2 linked regions of the Macaca mulatta genome follow. The protein of the gene in region 2 binds, or shares a complex with, the protein of the main gene of each other region. Links are inferred from orthologs where the notes say so. Each region holds a gene or a part of one and is shown on either strand. Other genes may lie near its edges.

What was found.
Region 1: GTF2F1 (region 2) and POLR2E share a complex: the UniProt entries of both Homo sapiens proteins name them as parts of the TBP-based Pol II pre-initiation complex. The link is inferred for Macaca mulatta from reciprocal best matches to the Homo sapiens genes GTF2F1 and POLR2E.

Annotation. Positions count from the first base shown.
Region 1 is NC_133424.1:1,753,193-1,757,096, forward strand, and holds the start of POLR2E (DNA-directed RNA polymerases I, II, and III subunit RPABC1), read right to left. Parts: upstream 2,481-3,904; 5' UTR 2,436-2,480; coding exon 2,379-2,435; intron 1,178-2,378; coding exon 1,003-1,177; intron 1-1,002. UniProt on the Homo sapiens protein: DNA-dependent RNA polymerase catalyzes the transcription of DNA into RNA using the four ribonucleoside triphosphates as substrates.
Region 2 is NC_133424.1:7,269,373-7,273,276, forward strand, and holds the start of GTF2F1 (general transcription factor IIF subunit 1), read right to left. Parts: upstream 2,943-3,904; 5' UTR 2,701-2,942; coding exon 2,689-2,700; exon of another isoform or gene 2,624-2,688; intron 2,605-2,623; coding exon 2,558-2,604; intron 1,684-2,557; coding exon 1,611-1,683; intron 1-1,610. Other genes in the region: adenylate kinase isoenzyme 1, read left to right, coding at 2,944-3,009, 3,376-3,559. UniProt on the Homo sapiens protein: TFIIF is a general transcription initiation factor that binds to RNA polymerase II and helps to recruit it to the initiation complex in collaboration with TFIIB. It promotes transcription elongation.

The sequences.
Region 1 (3,904 bases), about 5.5 Mb from region 2:
TCAGCCTCAAAAAAAAAAGAAGACCGGGCGCAGTGGCTCACGCCTGTAATCCCAGCACTTTGGGAGGCCGAGGCAGGCAGATCACCTGAAGTCAGGAGTTTGAAAGCAGCCTGGCCAACATGGTGAAACCCCATCTCGACCAAAAATACAAAAAAAAAAAAAAATAGCCAGGTATGGTGGTGGGTGCCTGCAGTCTCAGCTACTCAGGAAGCTGAGGCAGGAGAATTTTGAACTCAGGAGGTGGAGGCTGCAGCGAGCCGAAATGGCACCACTGCACCACCTGGGTGACAGAATGAGACTTTCAAAAAAAAAAAAGCAGTAGCATCACCCGGTTGGCAGACACGCTCCGTCCACCCCACTGATTAATTCTGGGCACGCGGCTGTGTCCCTAGGCGCTGGTAGTCCCCCAACCACTGAGGGCGCTAGAGCCATCCTGGGGGGGGGCAGACAGGTGGGGAGACTTCCACGGTCCAGGTGCTGAAACCGAGGGTCCCAGGGGTCCCGGGAAAAGCGGCCTGAGCACAACCTCGAGGGATGAGTAGCGGACGCTGACAAGGCAGAGGCGGCATGGGGTGCAGAGGAATGGGCTGGGGCAGACAGGGGCCACAGCTCACAAGGAGGCTGCGCTGACCCACACGGGGCCTCCTGGGCCAGGCCAAGAAGCTGGAAGTGCACCCAACGGCCAGGATGGGGGAGCCAAGGAACACAGGTAGGGCAAAGGTCATGAGGGGCTGCGGGTGAGTAGGGAGGTCCATGGGACTCTCCTGGTTGGCAGGAAGAAAGGGGACCGATGAGAGGGAAACCAGAAAGAGGCTGCGCATGAGAGGGGTCAGAGGTCCACGGCATCGCCCACAGCAAGGAAGAGGAGGGGAAGTTTTCCTCCCAGATTGGGCAGAGGATCAAACGCTGGGCACGAGGCGGGAGGGGGTGGGTGCTAGCGGCCGGCTCCTCAGCAGGTGCTCGGGCGGCTCCACCAGAACTCCCCCGGGACCCGCTGCTCACCTGGAAAGAACACAAACATCTGGTCGGTGGGGTCATCGTTGTGGGCCACCAGCACCGTGAGGTCAGTGCGCCGCGGCCGCCCCTCACTCGGCTTGTCTCCAAATTGGGCTTTGAACTCCTCCAGTGTCTGGTCAAGCTCGTCCTGGGTCACTAGGTAGCCACGGTCGTGGCACAGCTGCAGAGAGAAAGAACCAGCTGACCCCAGGGCAGAGACAGGAAGGCGGCCAGAGCTCGTGACCCAGAAGTCAGACCTGCGGCTGCTGCAGAGGACAGAGGTGAACAGCAAACGGAATGAACACTCGCTGTGTGCCCCATGACAGCCATCCTGGCCCCCACAGCCCCACACCACAGGATGGGACCAGCGTGATCCCGAGAGGCTCGCAGAGGTGTCCAGCCTTGACCAAGACCGTCCGTCTATCCAGCCTCACAGGAACCTGGCAGGGGGCAAAGCCCTCCAAACCACTTTGCAGAGCTACCCTAAAGACAGGGACAAAGACGGGGCGTGGGGGGTCACGTCCACGACCCCAGAGCTCAGGGAGGCCGAGGCAGGAGGGCTGCTTGAGGCCAGGAGTTCAAGGATGCAGTGAGCTATGACTGCACCACTGCGCTGCAGCCTGGGCGACAGAGTGAGAGCTTGTCTCTTAAAAAAAAAAAAAAAAAAAAAAAAAAAAAAAAGACAGGGACCGAAACAAATGTGACTTCAGGCTGACAATGTTTGCGGCCCGGAGGAAGGAGAATCAGGCTGCGGGGGGCTTCGCTAAAGACAAGGGCATAGGGGGTGGGGAAGCAAGACAAAACAAAAGCTCCCAAACGGCCCCAACGGCTGAGGGAGGACCCTGAACCGCAGGCCCTCAGACCTTTGCCCAGTTTCCAAACCGGAGTCGGCCCAGTGGCCTCCATCTGTCTCAGACCCCGAGGCACGGGTTCCGGGCTCCACGTCCCCATCGAAAGCCCCAGCTCGCCTGCTGCTTCCCAACCACCAACTCCGCCAGCCTCGGATGCTGAGACGCCCTGGGGTTCAGGACGCAAGGACAAATGGCGACGCTGAATCACAGAGAGGGGCAGGGTCTGGGGGCGCCCCCCGTCCCCATTCGCACCTTCCTCCTCTCGCCGCCATGTGCGCCGCACCAGCCCAAGCCGCCCGCCCACCGCTAAGCCCCGCACCCAGACGTCTCGAAACCCCCTCCCTTCCCCGCTGCCGGCTCAGGTCGGGCCCAGCGCCTGGGATCCCCGGCGGCCTCGGGGCCTCCCGTGTCGGCCGGGCCCTCCGTCGCTGCTGCTGCGACGGGAGTACGAGGAGACGCCGAGCTCGACCTCGCCTCGGGCCCCTGCACCTGCTGCTCGCGCCCCCGCCCCCAACACCACGCGCGGCTCACCTGCATGATGGTCTTGCGGATTTTCCAGAGCCGGTACGTCTCCTCCTCGTCGTCCATCGCCGCCACTCGCACCCGTTTTGCCTGCGAGAACCCGCGCGGACTGCGCCTGCGCCGACTCCCAATCAGGCCCCCTCCACGTAACCCCGCCCCGCGATGGGCTGTCGTCGGCGAACGCCTGAATGCAGCAACTTCCGGGATCGGCAGCGCCAAGGGCAGCCCGAGCCTTGCGAGAACGGCAGTTTGCTGCGCGAGACTCTCCCTCCGTAGTTCTCGTGTGTCTTTGGCTGCACGGCCTCTTGGGAGTTGTAGTTTCCGTTCAACTCCCACGTTGCGGCGACAGTTTAGAATCCCATGAGGCGGGGGCGAAGTGTGGGCGGGGAAACTGAGGCCTGGAATGGGTCAAGGGGCAGCTCGGCTCCTAGGGACGGTCGGGGAGCCTAGTGGGAACTCTTTAAATATTTGTGCATCAAACTGTACAGGGTTTCCTCTGTTGGCTCCAGGCCAGGTCAGGGTTAATGCCCTTGGGCCTCAGTTTCCCTACCTGTGCAATGGCAAAAAGTGTCCCTACTTTAGGCGGTTAACTGAGAGTCTTAGGTAGAGCTAGGCATATCTCTAGGTGCTTTTTAAGTCCCTTCACCTCTGTCCTCTCCCCTGAGTGCCAGCCTAGCCTGGGTATCTCCCCACCCCAGATCCGTCCTGTCTTTGCAAACCTCACCTCCCCAGATTCACGGAGGATCCCAGCCCAGCACTCGCTGTGTGAAGGCAATCAGTCACTGACTCAGTGATGCATTCATTAATTCAGCATTTACTCAGCAACCTACAGTGATGGTGAATAAAAACAGGCCAGGTATCCCTTGCATTCAGAGACAGGATTTAGTAAAATAACGTTACTGGGCGCAGTGGCTCATGCCTGTAATCCGAGCACTTTGGGAGGCTGAGGTGGGCAGATCACGAGATCAGGAGATCGAGACCATCCTGGCTAACACGGTGAAACCCCATCTCTACTAAAAATACAAAAAATTAGCTGGGCCAGGTGCCCGTAGTCTCAGCTACTCGGGAGGCTGACGCAGGAGAATGGCGTGAACCCGGGAGGCGGAGCTTGCAGTGAGCCGAGATCCGGCCACTGCACTCCAGCCTGGGCCGCAGAGCGAGACTCCGTCTCAATAAATAAATAAATAAATAGGACAGGCGCAGTGGCTCATGCCTGTAATCCCAGCACTTTGGGAGGCCAAGGTGGGTGGATCATGAGGTCAGGAGTTCGAGACCAGCCTGGCCAAGATGGTGAAACCCTGTCTCTACTAAAAACTACAAAAATTGGCCAGGCGCGGTGGCTCAAGCCTGTAATCCCAGCACTTTGGGAGGCCGAGATGGGCGGATCATGAGGTCAGGAGATCAAGACCATCCTGGCCAGGCGCGGTGGCTCAAGCCTGTAATCCCAGCACTTTGGGAGGCCGAGATGGGTGGATCATGAGGTCAGGAGATCAAGACCATCCTGGCTAACACAGTGAAACCCCGTCTCTACTAAA
Region 2 (3,904 bases):
AGAAAAAGAAAAGACCAGCCTAGGCAACATAGTGAGACTCTATATCTATTTTTAAAAAATAAAAAGGCCGGGCACGGTGGGAGGCTGAGGCAGGTGGATTACTTGAGGTCAGGAGATCAAGACCAGCCTGACCAACATGGCGAAACTTCATAAAAAGACAAAAATTAGCTGGGCGTGGTGGCAGGCACCTGTACTTGGGAGGCTGAGGCAGAAGAATGGCTTGAACCTGGGAGGTGGAGATTGCAGTGAGCCCAGGTCGTGCCATTGCACTCCAGCCTGGACAACAAGAGACTCCATCACAAAAAATAAATAAATAAAATAAATAAAAAGAATCTCATTGTGCAACATTTGCTGACATTAAGGCACCAAAATCTCTACAAATGTTACCATTTATCGTGACCTATGTGGCTAATATGATCCAAATTACCCTTAAGCTCTTGATTTAAGGTCCATATATACCATTTCCAAAACACTCTAGAATCAGCCACATCTCATAACCTCCACTGCCCCCAGTGCCCACCAGGACTCACCTAGACCAGACCAGTTGCTTCTACCCGGTCTCCCTTTAACTGCCCTCAAACCCACAGTCTGTCTCCCCACAACAGCCAGATCACACTACAACCTCCCAGTTGAAAACACTTTAATGGCTCCCAAACTCCTTTCTAGAGCCTCTGATGGCAGGGGCTCTGGGAAAGCCCCCAGCCCAGTCCCCTCCCTTGCCCAGATAAACCCTGGTCAAAAATGCCCATCGGTGGGCACAACTTCTGAATGTTCTCCTTTAAGGAGAGGCCTCCGGTGGGCCTACCAAACCTAACTTACAGGGACACCCAGGAGCTTGACCTGGGCCTTTGTCATTCTTTTTTTTTTTTTTTTGAGATGGAGTCTCGCCCTGTCCCCCAGGCTGGAGTGCAGTGGCCGGATCTCAGCTCACTGCAAGCTCCGCCTCCCAGGTTCACGCCATTCTCCTGCCTCAGCCTCCCAAGTAGCTGGGACTACAGGCGCCCGCCACCTCGCCCGGCTACTTTTTTGTATTTTTTTAGTAAAGACGGGGTTTCACCATGTTAGCCAAGATGGTCTCGATCTCCGGACCTCGTGATCCACCCGCCTCGACCTCCCAAAGTGCTGGGATTACAGGCTTGAGCCATGGCACCCGGACTTTTTTTTTTTTTTTTTTTTTTTGAGACAGGGTCTTGCTCTATTATCCAGGCTGGAGTGCAGTGATGCAATCATAGCTCACTGCAGCCTTGAACCCCTGGGCTCCAGCGATCCTCCTACCTCAGCCTCCTATGTAGGCCTACAGACCCACACTACCAGCCCCAGCTAATTTTTTAATTTTTTTGTAGAGTTGGGGTCTTGCTATTACATTGCCCAGGCTGGTTTTGAACTCCTAGCCTTAAGCAAGCTTCCTGCCTCGGCCTCCTAAAGTGCTGAGATCAGGGGTGTGAACTACTGCACCCAATCCTTTGTCATCTATCTTTTCTTCATTTTGAGAAAAGTGAGAAAATTAAGACTTAGTTACTATGACAGTTAAGCAACTATTACAATCACCAAGGTCAGGGTCATGTTCTCCCACCACCCCAGCTCCCAACCCCCAGGACCCAGGGACTTACCTGATTCCACGTAGCAAAGTTGACTTTATCGGCTGCATTAAAAGCCATGATATTATATTTTTTGGTTGTATTCCTGGAGTGGATTAGAAAGAGGTGGTGTCAATCCAATACAGCAGTTCAATCATTAATTTAATGAATTAATGCGATTGAACCATTAATTCAATCAGCCATCCAACTGGATCATTAATTCAATCAAATCATTAATTCAATCGCTCAATCCAATTGAACCATCAATTCAATTCAATCATTCCATTCAATTGAATCATTTATTCAATTCAATCACTCAACAAACCCACCCCGATTCGATTCATTCAGCCTGTTTTGCCTGGCAACACTGGATACAGAAGACTCCAAGGATTCCCAGTCTGCCAGAGAAGCTAGACCCATCCCCTCTTGACCCCAGGCAGAAGAAGAGCAGATGGAGGGACAAAGATTTGAGGGAACCCAAGATGTGGAGATTATTGTGAACTCAGCCTTGGGGAGGAGGGAGGACAGGCATGGAGGGCTTCCTGGAGGAGGAAGATACTGGAGCTGAGCTTTGTAGAATCAACAAGAATTCACCCAGCAGAGTCACAGTTTAGGGGTTGAGGGGAGGCACTCATGGCAGAGGGAACAGGATGTACAAAAGCCTAGAAAGGAAAGATAGCCCGACCATTTTGAAACAGGACGAGGAATATGTTCTTTACAGCTGGCCTGAGCATCATGGGATCGAAGGTTAGGCCAGGGGGCTGGATCGCCGTGTTATTAATGCACTCATTCATTCATTCGTTTAAAAAAGCAGGGTTGTCTCCAGGGAAGCCTCAGCTTAATCCCAGCCCTGCCCTCCAAGTCTCTCCCAGTCTGGAGGGAGAATCACAGACAGGGCCAGAAACGCCTGGCTAAGAAGACCGTGAAGGTTTTCATTTTTGGAGGGTGGAGAGGAGGGGGAGATGGGGCTGGACACTTACTTGGGAACTCGAACGACGTATTCAGTGACATTCTGGCTGCTAGGGCCCTGCGGAAAGAGGAACCGGACGGTGAGTGAGGAGTTGCCGAGGTCGCCGTCGGGACCCCGGAACCCCGCCAAATCCACACTCACTAGGGCCGCCATGGGCTATGGTCAGTGGTTCCGATCTGGTCCGACCCGGGTTCCTTTCGTCTCCTCTGGCGTGCGCGTCCCTCGATCCCGGGCAAGCCGCCGCTCGCTGTCGGGTCTCTGTCCCTGAGCGAAGACCCCAACCCCAGGCGCCTCCGGCACTGGGAAAAGGTAACCGGAAGAGGCGCTGCAGCTACTCCGTCTACGCTTCTGCGGCCGCTTAACCCGGAAGCGAAACCCTCCAGCGGCCGCGTCGCGATGGCAACCTTCTTAGCCACTGTGGCCGCCTCAATGCGCAGTCACTTATGCTCCTCGGCGGCTATGGTCACCTCAAAAGGGCCACCACGGTCCCTTCTTAGACTCAGCAAACCCAGGCCGAGTCTGAGATAAACTAACCGGCCTCTGTCGCTGGCGCTCTTTTATACAACACAGTTAACTTCATCAAATGGGGGGCCGCCCTCCCTCGTGACGTCACACCCAAGGACCGCGGGGCATCCTGGGTGGGGAGAGGGAGAAGAGTCCTCCTTGCGGGCCCCCAGGCACTTTGCGCATGCGCCATATCGCTCTGGACCGGGGTTGGGGAGGGCCAAGAAGGCCGCGTCACCATAGCAACCGAGGCCTACTCCGGTTGGGTCGAACCGCTGCTTGGCTCCCCATGGGCCTGTTTGGGGTTCATTTCCTCCCCCGAAGGAATGGACCCCGTCATTGTCGCAAAATGACCGGGGCGGGGACCCTTGTGACGTTGTGCGGAGCCAGGAGGGGTCAGAGCCTGGGCGGGGTCGGGGAGCGACCACCCCAAGGCCTGCTGGCTGGATGGGTCTCTGCAAGTCCAAGCTGCCCGAGATGGGCAGGGCTCTGAGGCCCCAGGAGAAGGGTAACGTCGCGGGGGCGGCTGGCTGGCTTCCTGGGGGGAAGGGAAGGAGGCTGCAGAGAACAGTAGGGAGATGCAGGATCCCCTACCCCGTTCCAGGCATGCACACACGCCCCAGTCATGGCAGTAACACAACTGCGCATGCTCACGGCGCAACCATTCATTGCTCCACTTCGGAAATACTCGAGCACCTCCTGGGTTCGGGGCCCCGCAAGGTGAATCTGTCAAACCAGCTCCCAACGGAGGGTTACAGTGTCCTCTCGAGGGTTACAGTGTCCTCTCGAGGGTTACAGTGTCCTCTCGAGGGTTACAGTGTCGTGGGGGAGACAGACTCATAACATGGGAATC